Linked DNA regions of Xenopus tropicalis. The protein of the gene in region 1 purifies or fractionates together with the protein of each later gene. This does not show direct contact. Links are inferred from orthologs where the notes say so. Each region holds a gene or a part of one and is shown in the gene's direction. Other genes may lie near its edges.

Evidence for each region. The genes of interacting proteins can lie anywhere in the genome.
Region 2: the proteins of clk3 (region 1) and tnpo3 purify together in Homo sapiens (affinity purification with mass spectrometry; 4 studies listed by BioGRID and IntAct, counting the BioPlex papers as one, with this or other methods). This does not show direct contact. The link is inferred for Xenopus tropicalis from reciprocal best matches to the Homo sapiens genes CLK3 and TNPO3.

The regions. Positions count from the first base shown.
Region 1 is NC_030679.2:94,247,370-94,258,150, reverse strand, and holds the start of clk3 (dual specificity protein kinase CLK3), read left to right. Parts: upstream 1-4,484; 5' UTR 4,485-4,528; intron 4,529-10,781. UniProt on the Homo sapiens protein: Dual specificity kinase acting on both serine/threonine and tyrosine-containing substrates. Phosphorylates serine- and arginine-rich (SR) proteins of the spliceosomal complex.
Region 2 is NC_030679.2:87,730,638-87,740,899, reverse strand, and holds the end of tnpo3 (transportin-3), read left to right. Parts: intron 1-927; coding exon 928-1,068; intron 1,069-1,778; coding exon 1,779-1,895; intron 1,896-2,121; coding exon 2,122-2,216; intron 2,217-3,383; coding exon 3,384-3,540; intron 3,541-4,342; coding exon 4,343-4,510; intron 4,511-5,496; coding exon 5,497-5,609; intron 5,610-7,267; coding exon 7,268-7,328; 3' UTR 7,329-7,359; intron 7,360-7,922; 3' UTR 7,923-8,642; downstream 8,643-10,262. UniProt on the Homo sapiens protein: Importin, which transports target proteins into the nucleus. Specifically mediates the nuclear import of splicing factor serine/arginine (SR) proteins, such as RBM4, SFRS1 and SFRS2, by recognizing phosphorylated SR domains.

The DNA.
Region 1 (10,781 bases):
ACAGGACCCACGCCAATGCTTCTACCCCTTCTTGCAATCGTGAGATTAACCCATTGTGCTCCAGGTGGGGGCATGTGGCATTTATCATTGGGACAGAGGATCCTGAAATTATAAGTTACTGCTTCCCAACATTCACCCTGAACAATTCTCTGTGCTTTGCTACATAAGCACAGAAGTAATGATAAAAGAAGTGCAGTTTTGACTGCAGTGTTAAATTTACTTGCTTGGACAAGCATGTGTCAGGCAACTGTGTGACTTATTTATTTCTTTTAAATTAATTATTTCTTTAAAATTAAACAACAGTATTATATGTTTTATAGGCTTTAGACTTAGTTAAAGGGATACTGCAAGCAAAAATATAATTACATTTTTTGCACAAGATTTAGCTATATGCAGTCACATTAAAGGACAAGTAAACATATCTCTATTTTTTCCCTAAGGCATTCTACTTTTAGGAAAAAAATACATCAGTATCAGGACAAAAAGTAGCGCTGAATTGCCATTTTACTTACCTTTACCAGGATCCCTCTTCATAGGGACCCCTGGAAAAGGTAAGTAAAATAGCAGCACTATGATATATATGAAGTCATTACTGTTAGCCAGAGCTTCACTCTGATCCATTTTCTAGTTTGGTGGGCCTTGTCCATAAATATACTTTGCTTTTTAAACTGTATAAATACATTTAAAAGGAAAATATTTGCACTAGATCGAGAGCATTGTGATTGAAAAGGCGCTCCCTCTACTGGTTACAAAAAAGCACTGACACCAAAAAGAGAAAATGAAGACTGATAACATCTCCATATAACTGGGTAAGTCTTGTGACAGATATAAGCAGGGCAACCATCGGGGTGGGGGCAGTCCCGGATTTGTGGCAAGGCCACAAAGACCCGGGCCTAGGGCGGCACAATTTTAGGGGCAGCATGTCACCCTGCCATTCCTAAATTTTGCTCACATGCAGAGAACTGGGGAGAGGATGTGCAGAAAAATTCAGCGCTTCGTGTCCCCAGTGCTCCGTAAGTGAGCTAAATGGAGGCGCATGCATATGATCCTGGTCAGGGGGTAGAGGAGGTGGGGAATGGGGGTGGTCTCTGTGCATCGGTGGGCGACAGTTGACCCAGGCCTGGTGGATTTTGGGGTCTTAGAAGGCCCAGCAGTGCTACATTTACTTGATTAACTGGACCCCCCCCCGCTGTGAGCTGCACTTTGGAAGGAAGGGTCTTTTCTCTAACAGCTTTGTATACTGCTTATTTGTCAATGAAGTGTAAGTCCCAGTAAAGTCACATAGGGATTGGATGCAGCGCTGGATTTCTTATCCGGGCGCCCCTAGGCTGTCCCTATTCATGTATACGCAAACAGCAACACCCCCCCCCCCCGTGAGAGCACATGCGCAGAAGTTTAAATGGGAGAGGTCCCCATTGCTCCAATAATTTTAACATTTTGGTGCTGCAGCGCCCCAAAATTTGTGCCGCCCTTGGCCCGGGCCTTTGTGTCTTCTCCACAAATCCAGGCCTTGTTGGGTGGACTGGGGGGCAAGTTTAAACTTCACCCATCTAAGCCCTGTGCAGCTGTACAAACTTTGTCTCATGGTGTAGTTCCCCACTGGTAAAATTTAAATTATTACTGAATGAGATTCCTTTCTCAAATCTTAAAAAGCACAAATTAGGCTTTTTTCTCAGGCTTTATTCTATATCCTGTCTGTACCAGAATCACAGGCAAGATATTTATTTATTCATTTATAAAAATGGTACAGATGTTTTAATAAATGTATATTAGAAACAGGTCTGGGGGGGGCAAATAATTTTGTTGTATAGGCCCTGTGATTTCTGATAATCAGAATATATGTACTGCTTCCCAGGCTCTCCTTGTTGATGCATATTCACATTACCAATCCTGAGTATCCGCCAATCCCTATCCAGCCGCCCCAGGGGCCCTTACCCTCTGCAGGGCCCCCCGCCTGATGTCCTCCCCTGAGCGCGCGTAAATATAACGTGTCAGGGGAGGAACACAATTGGCATTTTTGGTTTTAAAAGGATTGTCTGACTTCCTTACATACATGTAGCATTCACCTTCATATACCCCTGCACTTTGCAAGGGTATGTTGAAATGTATAGTACTTATATTAGGTAAACTCCATATTTCTACCTTTTTTCACTGATTTAACATTACTGATATAAATAGTATACAATGCAATTCCTTTTGCCTGACCCACAGATTCTAAAATACCCCCCTATGAAAACTTGAAAAAGACCCCCTTTCCTTTTTGTAAATTATAACAAAAGAGGTCACCAAAAAGCTCCAGAACCAGGTGTGCACACCATTATGGTTTGGATTGATTGTATTCTCCCCATAGCTACGGTTCTGTGGCGCTGCACCCAGACCGCCAAACAATCCAAAAGGAACTTGTATGAATATTGCTGTGCTGTTTGTAATAGGGGAGCCCCTGGAAAATTTGCCTGCTGTATATCCATTTGAGTGCCTCTGTATGCCACATAGTTTGGTGAATCTATGCATATTGGACATCCAACTGTTTAGTAGACCCCTAGTATTCATATTTAGGATGTTTTATGTTGGTGCATTACAAAATGTTTGGCATATGATGGGGTAAAAAACATTTGGCATAGCTTTCTAGTTTGCAGAAGAGACATATTTACCCATTTAAGTTCTTAGTATCTTCAGAAAATAAATGGTTTTCTAAGGTCTCCATACTGTTACGTGGTCTTATGGCACATAATACACATACATGTAGGCCATACAGTATAAGTTTGGTAAATCTATGCATATTGGGCATCAAACTGTTCAGTAGTCCCCTGGCATTCATATTCAGCAAGTTTTATGCTGGTATGTTACAAAAAAGTGAGGTATATAATTGGGTAAAATGTAAGGTTTGTGACGATATATTTCCTAAAAAACACTGTTTAGCATATCTATGCAGTTTGGTAGATTGCGGTAATAAAATGCATTTACCCATTTTGGATTTGTCAGAATGTGTACTTCCTAGGGTCTGCTTGCTGTTAGGGGGTCTTATGGCACATAATACACACAACTGGTTCTTATACTGCCGCAGCCAGAGTGTCAGACTTTAAATTCATATGCACTATTTTCATTTATGTGCCTCTGTAGGACACAAAGTTTGGACATATTTGTTAGCTGATAATATGTTTGCTGATATATTTAAAAGTAGAAGACTGTTGTGTGTTTATATGTGGGTTGTTTTGATTTTGTTTTTGCCTTTGGCTGCTTTTTACTTCCAGTCCACATTCCACATTTGTCACAAACCTTATTAAATATTTACGGCCCATTCAGTAGCTATGAGGTAAAAAAAAAAAACTTTGGTCATTTAACAGAATGTTCCCCTGCTCTGATTAGCCCTCTTGATTTTAAATTACTTATGTCAAGTAAAAGAATACACAGGCTGCATAACCTACTACATAACTAAAACTCCCAGGATTCCCCTCAACCCGTAAAGTGTTCTTTGGAAGACTGATAGGAGGCCCTGAGAGGGGGGAATCTAAGGGGCCCATTTATCAAAGTATGATTGCCTCCAAATACCAAAAAAACATAGTTTGGTACCTTGCGTATTTTCGCAGTTTTTTTTGCTAATTTGCGCAATTTTTCATATTTTAAGCAAACTTAAATTAAGCAACAAAATTTTGGATTAATTCAAGCTTCGGTATCATGACTTTCCTTGGGGCAGGTTGGAGCTGCAGAGTGCCATTGAGTCCTATGGGAGGCTTCCAAAATCATGCACACAAGGATCAAATTCAGAAAGGTTTTCCCGCCGTTTACGATCGTTCAGATACAAAAATTTTGTGACTTTTGGATCACCAATGCAATATTATAGTGACTAACACGATTTTTCGTAAGCATTTTCGTGACATTTGCTTACTTTGATGAATCAGTCCCTTAGTATACAAAGATATGTGCACAATAAAGTACAAAATACAAAGCTCTTTCCATTACACAGTGGTATATGTAGAGCTGTGTTCATTTTGTAAGAAGAAGGTATGCAGTGCTTGATTGGAAAATATAGTTAACATTAAAAATGCCAGGCAGTCAGGACCCACAAGTTATTTTATTCCCATACGTGTTGTGAAACAAGCCTTGCTCTTCTCAGCTGTTTGCCTGACTCAGTGTTTGGATTGTCTTTCAGAAGCGTTTTACAGGGGTGTGGCCAAAAAGTGGGTGTGATCTATTTATTTATCCGATTTGTGTAGTCTGATTTCACTCAGCAAATCTGGGAACAGATAACAGTTCCTCCTCGCCAGCCGCTGCTCTTTTTATTTGCCACTTGCAAACCCATTCTAGCGCAGCGCATCGCCACATTGCCATATTTGAATTTTCTGCTCTCTTCCATAGCCGCTTAGCAAGACATCCCTTCCCTCAAGTGTGACGTACCGCAGGTTTTGAACTGGGACAGGCGCTAGGCACGCCCTCTACGTGACGTCACACCCACTCGCACATCTTGGTCACGTGGCTATGACATCACGACTTCCTGGAAGGTTTTCCATGCGAGCGTCAGTTTTATGTGGTAAGTTTAAAGTTGGCTGTAGGGGCTGATTACTTTGCGGGTGTTGGTATAGGCTTCCTGGGGGCTCCGGTAATGTAACAGACGCATTATGTGATGTACCAATTAGCGCCACGGAAGTCCCGGCACCTTTATAATGAGATCTTTGTTTAACGTGGGCGCTAATATTATCGTTTGAAAAAACATATCGCTGCATTTGTTATGTCTTTTTTATTGTAAAGCAATGAACACATGGTTATGTGTTGGTACGTCTAGCGTTTCTCTTCGTTAGAATTTCCCGCCTGCCTTCCCCACATCCAGTGCCCATTGGAACCGCGGGGATAGTGTAGGGGTGCCAAGTAATGGGCTCTCCCATTCGTTCTCTCACTGCCAGGCATTCTGGGAAAGCACTCACAAGAGGATGGAGATGGCTAGTGCTGGCATCCTGCGTAATAGCTTCGTTTTTCGCCCCCTTGTAAACTTTAAGAAACCCGTCATAATACGTAGATGCTTTGGACGCCCCTGCTTGCTAGACGGTCCATTTCCATGGTTTATTTTATAAACTACCATAACGTTATTTGGAATTGTTGGGAAGCAAATTGCTCTACACATTCCACTTCCTGATTTAGCATTAAGCATATTGCTTTTGCTATATTAGGAAAGTAGCATTCACAAAAGATCCAGTAACATGCACACTCCATGTTAAATATCAAAAATCTTTATTAAAGCATTGGGAGCTACAAAGCATTACAGGACCCAGAGGGGTTATACATTCATAATATTGTTCTTTTTCTGGTTGCAGTTGCTGTGCAGATTAACTAAATATATTTACATATGCAATATGCATATTGCTTTCACATTACAAAAAGAAAAATATATAATACTGGAATTATATAATAATGTACCCCATTTTGTAACATATAAAGATATTACCAGTAGGGATGTAGCGAACCTCAAAAAAAAAGTTCACGAACCTACGCCAAAAAGTGCGAAAGTTCGCAAACCCCATAGACTTCAATGGGAAGACGAACTTTAAAACCTAGAAAAGCCATTTCTGGCCAGAAAACTGATTTTAAAGTTGTTTAAAGGGTGCCACGACCTGGACAGTGACATGCAGGAGGGGGATCAAGGGCAAAAATTTCTCTGAAAAATACTTTGTTGACACAGCGTTGCGTAAAAATGCAAGCTATTCCTATGTATACGCAAAGGCAGCTGGCAGACCTAGCGGAAATACGCAGCGTTTTTTGCTATTTCGCACTATTAGCACCATGGAAACTGGATTTGCTGAAAAATGCCATGTGTGGCTTGTGCGGCGTTTTTAGGGCGAGAAAAAATGCAGCGGAAAAACGCCACGCGAACCCAAATTGCGAACATGCGCGAAAAGTTCGCGAACCTGCGAACACCCGATGTTCGCGCAAATTAGTTCGCCGGCAAACAGTTCGCTACATCTCTAATTACCAGTCACAAAGGAGTTCCATTAGCAATAAGTTAGCCATTAGTTATAATAGGCGTTAGTGTCATTTGAGTCACATTACTCTCTGAAACGTGTATTATAAATAAATGTACATCTCCAGTTGTAAAATATGAGGCTATTAGAATTTGCCTTGTATAAAAGCACTTGGCCATTAGCCTTGTCCTTTTTTATAGTCATGGATCTCCTCTATGACTTCTGATATTCATATATTTTATAATAGGGGATAGGTTATTCTGTATACATCCCCCCTCATCTTCTGGTAGAATTACATGGTCTAGATCAGTGCTGTCCAACTGGCATGCGGCCCGCGACCCCCCCCCCCCCCCCCCCGTGTGGCCCCCCCACCTGTCTGGCTGCTTTGATGGCTTAAGGTGGCCATACACGGGCCGACTATAGCTGCCGATATCGGTCCCTTGGACCGATTCGGCAGCTAATCGGCCCGTGTATGGGGAGAGCAGATCGGCCTGGCCGACCGATATCTGGCCTGAAATTGGCCAGATCTCGATCGGCCAGGTTAGAAAATCTGGTCGGATCGGGGACCGCATCGGCTCGTTGATGCGGTCCCCGATCCGACTGCCCCATTGCCGCCCACATAATCCGATCGTCTGGCCCCAGGGCCAAACGATCGGATTATTATTTTTTTTACCTAAATGGTCCCCGATATCGCCCACCCGTAGGTGGGGATATCGGGGGAAGATCCGCTCGCTTGGCGACATCGCCAAGCGAGCGGATCTGCTGGTGTATGGCCATCTTTACTCTTATGGAAGCTTTAAATTGTATCAGTACTGTGATTAACTGGCCCCCTGCATGGTTCACACCTCAGATTTAGGCTGTAAACCCTCTGTATTGTTTAAAAATGTAATCCCCTGTACTGTTCACACCTTTTAATCTCTGCATTGTTCACCCCCTGCAGTGTTCACACCTCAGGTTCAGACTGTAATCACCCAATTTGTTCCCCTGTTCACACCTCAGACAGACTGTAGGAGCAGTAGAAACCCATAAATAATCCCTGCACACTACAAAAAGAACATATACTGAGGTAGTACTGTAATTAAAAAGTTTGTTAATATATAGTTATTGTGCAGACTGTAGGAGCAGTGCCAGCACTGTGTCACTGTATGCTGCCTGTGTGTGCCATACAGCATAGGGCAAGCAGAGTATGGCACACACAGGCAGGGTAGGGCAGGCAGAGTATGGTAGGGCAGGCAGAGTATGGTACACACAGGCAGGGTAGGGCAGGCAGGGTATGGCACAGGCAGGCAGGGTATGGCACAGGCAGGCAGGGTATGGCACAGGCAGGCCAAGTATGGCACAGGCAGGCCGGGTAGGGAAGGCAGAGTATGGCAGGTTTTTGCTGTACTAAAACATGGGGTATGGTCATGTGATAACACGGGTGTGGTTTCAAGTGGGTGCAGTTTCAAAAAGGGGAGTGGTCAAAATGGCTTCCATTATCGGCCCTCCACCACGTAGGTCGGAAAAATTCCGGCCCTCGGTACCACAGAAGTTGGACAGCACTGGTCTAGATCTTCTATACAGGTGTATGTATATATAATATGAAGTGCTTACCATGCAATTCTGCCCCAAGTTATTGTACAGTCATATATGGGTAAATGCTTTAATCAGCTGATAGTCATTCCTGTCAAAATACAATCCATTTGATCAGACAATTTAGGAGTTTGAAATGGATTAGCCTTATCTGACTAATTTGCATCACATTTTCTATACAGAGTGATTGTAGTTGGGCCAACTCTGTGGGCTGACTAAACTAAAAACATTTCTGGTACAGAATGAAATCGACTGGCAGTTGAAATTGGATTTCTCTTTCATATACATCAGAGCTGCGGTTTGTTGCTCCTTTGGTGCGACAGTCTCATACAGATTGTATAAGTGTATGTGATTCTGTACTAGATAATTCAAGCAGACTTATCAGATTCACTCTGATTTAGTTTTATTTTGCTGGACGTGGATATATAGCCAGTGCTCTAATTGATATTGTGTAAATATGTGTATGGATATTTTGGGCAAAGAGAGAGGATAGTGCCACACTGTAACCAAAATAGATTGATAATATTAAATAGTTGATGTCGGTTTAAATGCCCATGTTTACGCAATCGGAATGAGCCCTGGAAATATTTGATCTCTGATATCCACTGCCTCCATGTTTATTTAACCAGCCTTTCAATAAAGGGGAACTATACCACTGAAAATGTCAGGTCTCTATAAAAATACATTGAATAAAATCGCCTATATGTAAAATCCCGCTTAATTTAAATAAACTGTTGTAGACTTTGCTAGTAGTATATGCCATTGGAAAACCCTAAACAGAATATTGCCAATTCATGGGCTGCCCTCTGCCTCATACAGTTCACTGTGCTCACACATACATGCTAGGTTACATCAGCCAATGAATGGACAGAGCTTTGCTTTTGACTCCCACACTTCTTTCTGTTACGGTTACAACCTGCATTATTTCCTGTCAGGTAATCTGAGGGAGAAATCAGAGTATCAAAAAAGTTGGTCCAAGGTCTGCAAAAGGGTAACATTTACGAATATGTTTATGTATAAAAAGATTGTTTGATATTTATATTATCTGTTAGTTAAGTATTCATTTTGTAGGTATAGGTCTTCTTAAAAAAAAACAAAAAAAAACAAAACAACTCTGTCTTATCGAGTATATAAAATTCCACCCTGATCTGACCCAAGCCTTAAATTTGTAGTCTGCAGATTAAATGTAAAAATTAATCAATAAAGAGGAGAGTAATTCAGATAAAAGGATATTAAAACAAGCTTGGCCTGTTTTATAGCATTCTGTGAAAGTGACTAATGGTGGCAGCCTGACTTGCATTTAACATTAATTTCATTATTGTTACTCCTGCCTGATTCTTAGACAGAATAATCTATTGTTGAGTCACTGAATGTAAGATAGTAAATAATTTTAAAATAATGGCTAGCATTGATGAGGCCGAGACATTCACAGGTCTAACTGGGTACACCGGCATTTTACTGTGCTACTGGGCTTGTGTAGATGTAATATGCTACCTGCTATGATACTGTCATCATTGTAAACATGGAATCTATATTACAAATGTAACTTAACAAATAATTTATAAATAGAATATATCTTGTTTCGCATTTTTTTAAACGTGAAGTGATTTTCCCAGTCTTTACTGCTGCTGTATGTCAGCGAGTACATTTACCATTTTTGCTGTCTTTAGTTACCCAAAAATGGATTTAGATATGGTATGCAGGCTGCTTCTTACTGTAGCCTTGGTGTATAACACATTTTTAACACTGAATGTATCAGTTGTTGCTTGAAATTAGGGTTGAAGAGATACAAAATATTTCCACTTAATGGTGTTACTGTTTATGTCCTAATTGTACTTCTATGCTATATATAGAAAAGCATTAGCTCTTTAACAATGAACTACGTATTTTAATATCCCATTAAAATATCTCTGCTAAAGGTACAAGGTTTACTAGTCTATAATCTTTAGGCGCATTAGCTTTGTCAGCATTGTAGGAGAAAGAAAGGTAAAAACTAAGTAAGCTGTATCAGAAAGGTCAATGTAAATACAGCCATAAGCACTCACAGAAACTCTGCACTGACTTCTCTGTCAAAAGATTTCTTGTGTCTGTAATTCATGTGCCAGAGACACGCAGCTCTCTGCTCTCTCCCCTCTCCTGCTCCCCCCTCCCTCAAGAATGCTAAGAACTCACTCCGCCCCCCTTAGGAATGTGGATCTGAGCCAATCAGCCGGAAGCTGATTCATAGTCTTACAAACAGAGCATGTACACTTGGTCTCGGTCTCTGTCTCGGTGCAGGAGTGAGGCATTATGGGAACTTTCTTTACGCAGCTCAGCGTTTTTTCTTCCTGTTTGGCTTCTGATCATCTGAACGGGAAAAATATGGGGAGACTTAAGGGCACTATTGAGACAACTGAAGGTATGCCTGTAGCTTGAGACTCTTTATTAGCCTTTTCTTCTCCTTTGAGGTCTGTCTGTCTGTCTGTCTAAAGTGTTACTGTGAAAACCAGATTGTATACCCATTCTGCTTGCAAAACTGTTTCTGTATTGAGGACACATGTGTTTGGCAATTTAAGGGGTGGGTTACAGTTCTCTCCTGTGTAACCTGTGGGTAGCTAGATTGCTCTGGTGTTGCTCTTGTCTTGCTTTTGGGTCATATATTAAGCTATTAGCATTTTACAATATTTACAGCTACAAAAAATGTTTTTCTTATAAGTAAGGGAAGGTGTATAGCTGTAGCTTGTTTTGTCCAAATACATTTGTGTGCCAAAGCATTTAGGCTTTTTTTTTTATTGTAGGCAAACTACTTGCATTTGTCTTTCAAGTCATGTGTTACTACACCAAGTCTCTGAAATGATTTAATTTAAATAGGCAGGTGGTTGCTTTTTGCAAAGGTTAGCCGAATCTTGTCATGTAAAAAAGTCTCTTTGTATGGTACTGCAAAATAAGATTGGAGCTGGGAGAAAGCCGTAATAGAAGCGCTTGCTGCAAATAAGTGTTTATTCCCATAACATGTTCTGGGCTGCATGCCCTTTATCAAGTGTATAGCAAATTACAAGTTACAAACATTTATAGGTGTTCGAGGAAATTTAAAAGGAAACCAATCCATATTTGTGTAACACAGTCCTCAAATGAATCCAATTAATCAAACAAACAAGGAACTGACAACTCATAAGGGCCTATCTCCAAATATGATAAATAAGCATGAGCAGAGACAGAAGGAAAATGTGCCCAGTATATGTTACCATAGGCCGAATCATTAAGAACAGTTCAGTCTCC
Region 2 (10,262 bases), about 6.5 Mb from region 1:
AACTTTACTTACTCTATATAAATAATATAATATATCTTGTTTCCTTCCGTCTTGGAATTACTCAATCACTGCAAGCAGGCAGGCACCATTTTGTGGACACTTATGAAGCCAAGCTTTGTATCATGCCAAAATCTAGTTTATGTGCCAGAATGGGGGACCAGATGCCCGTGCCCATGCACTGGCTACACAATTAAATGATGAGGAAGAGGGAGGGGAAAAGTGAGATGTGCACTGACATATAGGTAGTGCTGAACGGAAAGCTAAAGGTATTGTCTGCCCCGCCTCTATGCCTAAGGCATACAGGCTGGGCAAGCAATATGTGATTGATAGCTGGGATTTTTAATTGCCTTTATAATGGGTTTGGATGTATTAATATAAAAATGATTTTGGGTTTCGTGTTTCATTTGAAAAGGATTATATTATACAGCTTTTTATGTCTTTTTTTTTTTTTTTTTTTTTTTAGGTCCTCTTTAAGGGACATTGCACCTGTAATTTTTTACTCAGTTGTGATTAGTATAGGGGTTACTTGTACTGGCATAGTTATAGGCTGTGAGAAACATTAGGAAATGGCCCAGCATTTTTCTGACCACACCACAATAATATCCAGGCCACTCAGTCCTGTCTTGAGAGATCTCAGAGAATAGGACCTGTTGCATATTCAGAGGGTGGCTAATCTCACTTGTCTTCTTGTTTAGTTTTAGGACCAAGTACAGCAAAAGCTGAATTTTAGGGGGACCCAATAGTGTGGAAGGGGAAAGCTATAAGGGTTTTGTTCTCTTTTGATATGGTGGGATGTATAACCCTATGCCTACTCACATGAAAACAATGCTTTGTTTCCTATAACAATTGTATGCCAGTTATTGAACATAATAATGATGATGATAATGATAATGAGTTTTTTGTTTTGTTTTTTTTTTCTTTTAAAAGATCTGGCCTGTGTTGTCAGAAACCATGAACAAGCACCGCGCTGACAATCGAATTGTTGAGCGCTGTTGCCGATGCCTTCGTTTTGCTGTGCGCTGTGTAGGGAAAGGATCTGCTGCGCTCCTCCAACCATTAGTAACACAGGTACTGTGATGCATCCCAACATTTAGTGCTACCAGGCTATGCTAACTAGAATATCACGTCCATTAACACTTTTTTCAATAGGTCTGAATTAATGTTAAAATTAAATTGAACTTATTAATAAACTGTCTCCTAAAAATGGTTAACTTAAATATTTTATAAAAGAGGTGCTGATACAAATCTTTTAGTATCTATCTAGATGCAACACATATTAGGGCTCATTCACAAAACAAAAATTTCACCCATAAGCATTTGTGCTGTTATGCGTGCCAGGTGGAAGCTGTAGTCTAAGCTACTGCAGTAAAAATATAGTACTAACCAGAGTGCAGCACTCAGAGTAAATAAAGCCCTGCACTTATTGCTTGGGAACACCTATCCAATGCCCCATAGCATGCAGTGCTTGCAAAGCTCCTTTTTGCAGTGCATTGTCTCTATAGGAAGTACAGCCAGCAAGGCAAAGTGTGACATGGAAAGAAAAATTGGGATTGTGCCTGTTTTGTAAATGAGACCATATATATCGGTTAGGATCAGGAGCTGCTATATACATACTGATAATTGCTTTGTCCTGGGTTACAGCACAGACTGCATTGTAGCTAAGTTTTAAGCCGTCTCCCCCCAAAAAAAAGAAATGCCTGGAAGAAAAAGAAATGCATTTTTGTGTATATATGAACGGGTGTTTGGTTATATTTGTTTTTTTATTTTAATTTTTTCAGATGGTAGAGGTGTACCATATTCACCAGCACTCATGCTTCCTGTACCTTGGCAGTATCCTAGTGGATGAATATGGAATGGAGGAGGGCTGTCAGCAGGGACTGTTGGATATGTTACAGGTCGGCTTTTTTCTGTTCTGCATTGTACTAACCAAGAAGGAACAAAAACTAAATGTTGTCATCTGCAGTGTTTGAATCAGTCTCTGGCATCCTCATCATTTTTAGCATTTTACTGTCCTGTGACCGTTTTGTACACTTAGTATCAGTAACAAAAATTAAATAATCAAATCTCCTTAACATTTGCTGTATTGGCAAAGTAATATATCTCATGCTATTCTAATTTTAGGCTTTATGTGTCCCAACGTTTCAACTACTGGAGCAGCAAAATGGTCTCCGAAATCACCCAGACACTGTAGATGATCTATTCCGACTGTTTACCAGGTAACCTTGGCAGTGCAGTGCAGACATGCCTGTGGATTGTTCTCAAGGATAAGAATAAAATTGAAGCCTCACTATAGGTGACCCTGACAACCAGATAACATTTTTGGCTTGCAAACAAGAAGAGGGAAGAATAGGAATGCTTACAGGAATTGTAAAACCACCAGTATATGGAATTACATGATAAAAAGCATATTTTATCCAGGCTGAATACAAAGGATGCATCTGTCTGCAAACAAGTTGTTATAGCAAACAAATTCCATAGAGAATCCTACTATCTACAGAGCTAGAAATTCATGGTCCTATATGTAGGTGTCACTCAATGGGTAAAACAGCTTACGGTAACATAATAATGTTTCCTCAAGCTATTGTTAATTCAGTCCTGTCCTAGTAACTGTTCTTCAGAAGCTTACATTATTGTGATTTATGACATCTGTTATTAATTATGCAAGTAGAACCTAATATTGGGCAGGGTTCTTATTTTGTTCAATGGGCATTTTGTCTGCCACTGCCCTAGGGTGTAATACAGCAGCATATGAACCCCTCTGTCCCACCTGCCCCCACTACTCAATTCTCAAGCAAGCATTTTAGCTCTAAGGTTCACTTGTGTGAGTGCAACATTCTTTCCATTTGCTGCTTTAAAGGAGAAGGAAAGGCTAATAAAGATCTCAAGCTGCAGGCATACCTTTAGTTGTCTCAATAGTGCCCTTAAGTCTCCCCATATTTCGCCTGTTCAGATAATCAGAAGCCAAACAGGAAGAAAAAACGCTGAGCTGTGTAAAGAAAGTTCCCATAATGCCTCAATCCTGCACAGACACCCAGACCAAGTGAACATGCTCAGTTAGTAAGACTGAGTCAGCTTCCTGCTGATTGGCTCAGATCCACATTCCTAAGGGGGGGGAGTGAGTTCTTAGCATTCTTGAGGGAGGGGGGAGCAGGAGAGAGCTGCATGTCTCTGGCAGAGGAAAACAGACGCAACAAATCTTTTGACAGAGAAGTCAGTGCAGCGTTTCTGTGAGTGCTTATGGCTGTATTTACATAGACCTTTCTGATAAAGCTTTCTTAGTTTTTACCTTTCTTTCTCCTTTAAAGATTAGTGACAAGTTGACAGGGGTGTTTTGACTCTATTCCATATCTCTTTCCATATTTTCCCATATCACTCCCTTCCAGGTTCGTACAGCGCTGTCCCATCGTCCTGCTGCGCAGTCAGGTTGTGATCCATGTGTTGCGGTGGGCTATAGCTGCCTCTACACTAGACCACCGGGATGCCAACTGTAGCGTCATGAAGTTCCTGCGTGATCTAATACACACCGGGGTGTCCAATGATGTAAGTGCTTTAGCACATAATACATTTTTATCTTTTCCCTCCCTATTTATGTTCATTTCTTTTCCACACTGTAATTGCTTTGCTGGCAGAAATAAGTTATTTGACTTAATTCAGAGGAAAACTTGGTTCAACGTGCCTTTAAGAGGGGCCTGGATGAGTTCTTGAACAAGCATAGTATCCAAAGGCTATTGTGATTTATTTATATTTATTTATTTATTTTATGTATATGATAGTATAGATTAGTAAGTATAGGTTGTGTGTGCTTTTTTTGGGGTCTTTTTTCAACCCTATGTAACTATGTAACATTGTTCATAATTTTTATGTGCTGCAGATAAGTATCCTTTTCTATACCTTCTGTTATAATATGGCCACCATGCAGAGAGGAATGTAAGCTAGAGGAGACAGATGTAATGTTCTGGCCACCAAGGAGTGTCTGCAGAAAGTTACGGCTAAAATCTGTCAAAACTAATTTTTTTCTTGATAATCTCTTAAAAGGAAATGCAGTAAATTCTCTTATCTCATTAATTTAACATAAAGTCTTAGAATTCTGTTCAACAGATGCACACTGTAATTGTAGGGGGATGGGGAGCCAGTCTGTTTTGCTCTGTGGGCTCAAAGTGTTTTAGCAGCACCCACTTAACTGCTTACTATGGGTTTACTAGGGAATGCAAACTTCATTACTCGGTTGCATGCAACAGACTTTAATACAAAACTGGATAGGGACCCCAGTACATGGTACCAAGATTGCTGTGTCACCGTAACAACTCCACTTTTACAATAAGCCTTCAATGTTTCTATACAGCATGAAGAAAACTTTGAGATTCGTAAGGACTTAATCCAACAAGTTCTGACTCAAGTAGGGCAGCAGTTGGTAAGCCAGCTTATCCATGCTTGCTGCTTCTGCCTTCCACCCTACACGCTCCCTGATGTGGCAGAGGTTCTCTGGGAAGCTATGGTCTTTAATAGGCCGGTAAGTATAAACACAGATAATTTTAGCACACAGAAAATACATCCATTTTATGGCAAGTATTGGAGGCCTTCATTTGCACTAGTTCTAATTGTAAGAGATTCCAGGGGCAAGGTAGGCATCACTTGTGTAGGCATTTAGAATAATGCATTCCAAAGAAACAATCTTTTTAAGGACATCAACCCAAAAAATAAGGTTTTATTACATACGTAATATGTATGTTTAAATAAGGATAGGCAGTGCTGTACAATCTTACAATATACACAATTACACACTGGGAGGACAAGTGTTATAATAAATACAATAATTAAGTATAAATATACAGAGATTAAGTGCCATGTGGTGTTAAACAAAGTAGGAAGGAGGTCCCTGCCCTGTAGAGCTTGGAATCTAAGTGAATCTAATAAAAGAAAATATAATTCTAAGCAACTTTCCAATATGGATTTAGTGCTTTAAAAGTTATTTCAAATAAAACATAGCAGTAGTCAGCTGTCCTTAGCATGCCTTCAGCCTACATCCTTATTTTTTGGGTTGATGTCCTTTAAAGCCCTTTTCTATTACCACCCATTCCCTTATATCAGTGATCCCCAACCAGTGGCTCGTGAGCAACATGTTGCTCCCCAACCCCTTGGATGTTACTCTCAGTGCCTCAAAACCAAGTACCGGTAGTTATTTTTCAATTCCTGACTTGGTGGCAAGTTTTGGCTGAATAAAAACAAGATTTACTGCCAAATAAAGCCTCCTGTAAGCTGATAGTGTGCATAGAGGCCCCTAATAGCCAATCGTAACCCTTATTTGGCACCTCCTTGAACCTTTATGGTGCTTGTGTTGCTCTCCAAGTCATTTTACATTTGACTGTGGCTCACAAGTAAGAAAGGTTGGGGATCCCTGCCTTATATAAAGATATATATGTATTTTACTATAGCATGGGAATGTATCATTTTTTTGCTGGGGAAGTACAGAATTTGAGAAACAATTTGTGTTTACAGACATTTTGTCGTTGGTTGGAAGCTTCTCTGAAGAACTTACCAAAGGACATGGCAGTGGGAGCAGCAACAGTCACACACAAACAATTAACAGATTTCCACAAACAAGTCACAAGGTACGAGCATAATTTCTTAAACAGAAAAGAATATGGCTACTAGGAAATATTCATATTAGACACAGTTTAGTCAAGTCAGTCTTCACTGAAATAGTAGTTTTGCTAAAATACAATGTATATATGATTCATTTTCAGCTCCATTTGATGTGAATCGGTGTCAGTTATTTCTCTTTGGTCCAGCAATTCAGTCAGGAATATAGAGCCATGTCATTACCCCTGATAGATGTGATGGGGAGACGTTCATGTGATTTGTTGAATTAACTGAATGGCATCAATGCAAACAGGACTGCACTTACATGGAATGTTTTCACTACTTTTTGTTGATCTAAGGGTTATAGCTCCATTAAGAAAGCACAAAAATTACATCACTTATGCCTTTACCCATCATAATTTTACTCCTCCCCGTTTTTTGTAGTATCCTCTTTGCCTGGACCAAACTGTAAATAACAGAGTCATAACAGAGAATTTTTTAAAATATATTTTGACATCAGAATTAGTTGCTAATATGCTAATATTGCTTCTGTAAGTGTTTAGCGCAGTGACAGACGGGGAGATTAGTCGCCCCGCAACAAATCTTCGTTGCCGCAAGTAACTTATCTCCCTGCAATGCCATCCCACCAGCAAGAATGTAAATCGCCAGTGGGATGGCACACATGTTGCATAACAGATAACAGCTCTGTCTGCCTTCACCATTAGGGCATGGGTACACGGTGCATATATCTGCTGCTCTCAACCCTTGTGTTTTTTAGTCAGGCTGGGAGCAGCGAATCTGCTTGCCTCTGCTGCGCCATGTGCCTGCACTAAAAAACGAAAGTAACCACCTGGGTGCGGGCACGCGGAGTGGTTTGGAGGTGGGCTTTAGTGGTTTTTAGAGGCTTCATATACTCTGTGATGTCTCTAAACTTCCCTCTTTTCTGAAAAGTGTATGTTTATTCTGGCTAAAGTTTGAGAAGATGTTTTATAAGCCATCAGAAGTAAAAGCACATTTCTGACCCAAAATGAACCTACTGATGGCAGCATACCAGAAGGATATTCACTTTTCTAATTTTGGTTGGCAGAGGAAGAGTGAACAAACATTAAAATCACTGGGGAGGGGTGTGACTATTTGTACCCCTAATGAATAAGATCACTTTTCCTCTAGGATGTTTTTTTTTTGTTTTTTTAAAAAAATGAACTGGATGCTGGGTGTAAAGGGGATCTCTGCCTTTCCTTCACTTTCTCATCTGCTGATGTACTGTGATCCTGTTGCCACGGTACTTGGAAGATTACATATCCAGTAATAGATCATCTCTCAAAACCAAACCCCACGCTGACATATGGTCAAAATTGGGCAAACTGCCCAATCATATCTAGGCATGTTAGGCAACTTTAAATACAGAAATGCCTTAATATGTGTGATGTGTTAACCAGTTTTATTTCAACTTTTTGCTTTTTGCCTCACAACATAAAATTTAACCTTTTTGTATTTTTTTCATTGTTTTAAATATGTTACACAATATCATACTGGTATTCATAGTTATTAGGCTTTTCAAAGAATATGTATTTTACTAAAGATCTGGTATATATGCATCCAGTTGCAAACCGAACAGGGCTTGATACTACTTGTTTATTTCATCATAATTCTTTATGGTTGGGATTGTTGTATTTGTTTTTTTCAGTGCTGAGGAATGTAAACAGGTATGTTGGGCTCTGAGAGATTTCACCAGGTTATTCCGATAGCTGTGCTCCCTCGTAAGGCCTGCCTTCATAGGTACGTATAGAACTAGTTCCTTAAAAATACCGCTGTCCATATATTAGTCTCTCTTTAGCTAAATGACATCGGTCAAATCCCTGCTGGCCACAATACCACTTGCAATTTTATATCCAGGTTAGGAAAGGAAAGCTAAAGGCACTTGTGGCTGATTAATCTGGTGCATGGAAATGCAGACTAGGCCTAAAATACAACAATATGCATAGTGTGACATGCAGAAGGGTGCTATCATGGCAGGTTATTGCCTGGCATTTTGTTGCCAGGGCTTTTCTTCATACTCTAGTGATAGTCACACAAATGTGTCTTTCATCAGTTTTTACAGCGGGGATCAATCTGTTATAGTTTGCAGGGAATTGTGTCTAATACTTTTTAAAAGAAAAACAACATTACCAGGTAATTTCCTAGTAAAAGTAACAGAAGATCAGTAGTTCAAAGAAATGTCGATTTGAGTTTGGTGTTTGCATTAGTTTATTGGGTAGTTACTGGACTGCATATGAGAGAAACTGTAAATTTTTCCTGCTGGGGTTCACTTTGCTTACAGTTGTGCTCTTCTTTACCCTCAGCGATGGCAGGTTACCCAGTCTACTCAGATGGCACCTTCAGAGAACCATTGTGGAACGGCTTCTATAACCCCCTAGTGTGTGTCATGCCAAAAGGGGGACGCAGAGCAATAGTCAGCGAAATGAATATCAGGCGAGCTTTGAGGAAAGCGTCCCTGTGTTACGTGTGCTGAAGAATCTAAAATGAAAACTGGGAAAAAAAGAGCTTTAAAGTTTAAACCCTTCACTTCTGAACAGGGTCAATGTTCCGTACAGAGCTGTGGTGAATTGCAATGGCCATAAGACGAAGCCACTCTGTCCTCTTCCACAGCAATAAGGCAATCTGTGAGCAGCCAGCCAGCCAGCTGTACACTGGCAAGGGATTCCCCCAGTAGAGCCGGGTATTCCTAGACCTCGGGGATGAAGGGGTTCTCAAAGCAGTGTGGGGTCCCTGGGCACCGCATTAGAATTTTGAGATGGGATGAATCAGGTAAAGGAGGTGGGGATAAAGGGGTTAGAGCTTTCCTTGATGGACTCGTTTTAAAATAAAAAAAATAAACAAAATATAAAGAAAAAAAGAAAAAGGAATAAAATGAAAAAAAAAAAGAAAATACAGCCGTTTAAATATCAATGGCCGATGGAGTTGGGATTTGCGTGGCAGCAAACAGAAAAACTGAAATAATGGAGCTAAACTTTCTGTGAAATGAAACAAGACAAACGTGCAAAATAAAATTTAAAAAATGAGATGAAGTCATCCTTTTTTTTTTTTTTATTTATTCGCATTTGGCTTCTGTTGGCTTCTATTTCCACCTTCATGCACAAGAACAGATTTGAAGGAGTTAAGTCATTAATATATACACAACTGATTGGCACATAAAACTTGTGCTGCCTCTTTTAATTTATTTCTTGCCCTAACCCTTTGATCTAGGACCATACTGAGGGTCATGGTGCAAATGTACAAAGGTTGGGTTACAATCTCAGTTGAACTAGGATAGAGCTGTCTAACTGGTAGTCTGCAGGCTGGATGTGGTCCTACAAGGTATTTCTGTGACCCCATTTCTGTAGACCTGATTGTATGCCATTGTTTTATAATCTGGCCCCAAATGTGAAGTAGCTGATAATTGGCCTGTGGGATGGAAATGTTAGTACTGACCTGGGATTAAGATCCACGATGCAACTGCACATCGCATGGTTGAAATGGGTCACATTAAAGGGATGCTGATGACTTTCTGTCAGAAAAAAAGTGTGGTGTTTGTGAGCAAAAGTATACTTTTACAAAGAGTTGCAGTTAGGGGTTTTTTGACATGAAAAATATTTTATTTGCAACTCAGGGTCAATGCTTCCTTTCTGGCAGTAGCATGGCATTCCTTGCTTTATGGGTGGTGAAAGTTAGTTACAGGCTATCACTCAGTGTCTATGTGAGACAGATCTAGTATTTGAGAGATTTTTTTTATGGCACTGCCGACAGGAGAAGCTGGTGATTGTTAACAAAAGGTGTAAAAAGGTGTAAGCAAAAAGAAAAATATCCTTAAAGGGCAGTGTTTGGCTGGAGTGTCCGGGGCTGCCACCTCCGGGGCCCCCACCCCCGTTGCGAACACCCCAACCTGCAGGGCTGCCACCTCAACCCCCTGCAAGCGCGCACGCCATCGTGTTGTGGTGTTAAACTTGCAGCGCATTATAATGGGGTGAGGCCTAAGTGGCTGGAAAGGTTCAGGCCTGGGTTGGTGGGGCCCAGCGGGTTTTTTCCCAGTGCCCTACCGGCCCAGTCCGATCCTGTTAATGGGCATGTCTGCCCATATAATTATATATATATATATATATATATTTTTTTTTTTTTGTGAACAATGAAAGTATTAGTTGTAAAGATACATTAACATTTCACTTAATCTTAAACTCATTTCTAAATGTGTATGCTACTTCTGTTTTTTAGGCCTGTATATTAATCCAAATCCAAAGTCATTGTAGGGGAACTATCTGGAAAACAGACATTTATAGAAGGTTCATTTCATAAAAAGAGTGTGTGTGCTGTCATTTCCTAGATGATGTTAAGGCTACAGCCCTTTTCTTGGCCTGCGTATATCTGCTCTGATGAAGTGCCTGTTAGTGCAGACACCAGATCAGGCTGTGAAGAGCAGTCGGCTGTTTGTTGGCCTTCTTTGTTATTTCAACAATGGTACAGAATTAATTATACAGGTACAGGATCCTTCATCCAGAATCCATTTCCTATTGGGTTTATTTAAAGGTTAAATAACCCTGAAACCTTTTCCATGGTTGTGTTGCTTCCCAAGTCTTTTGCTGTTTGAATATGGCTTATATGTGTAAAAGATTGGGATCCCTGGCTTAAGGTATGGCAATCTGAATTAA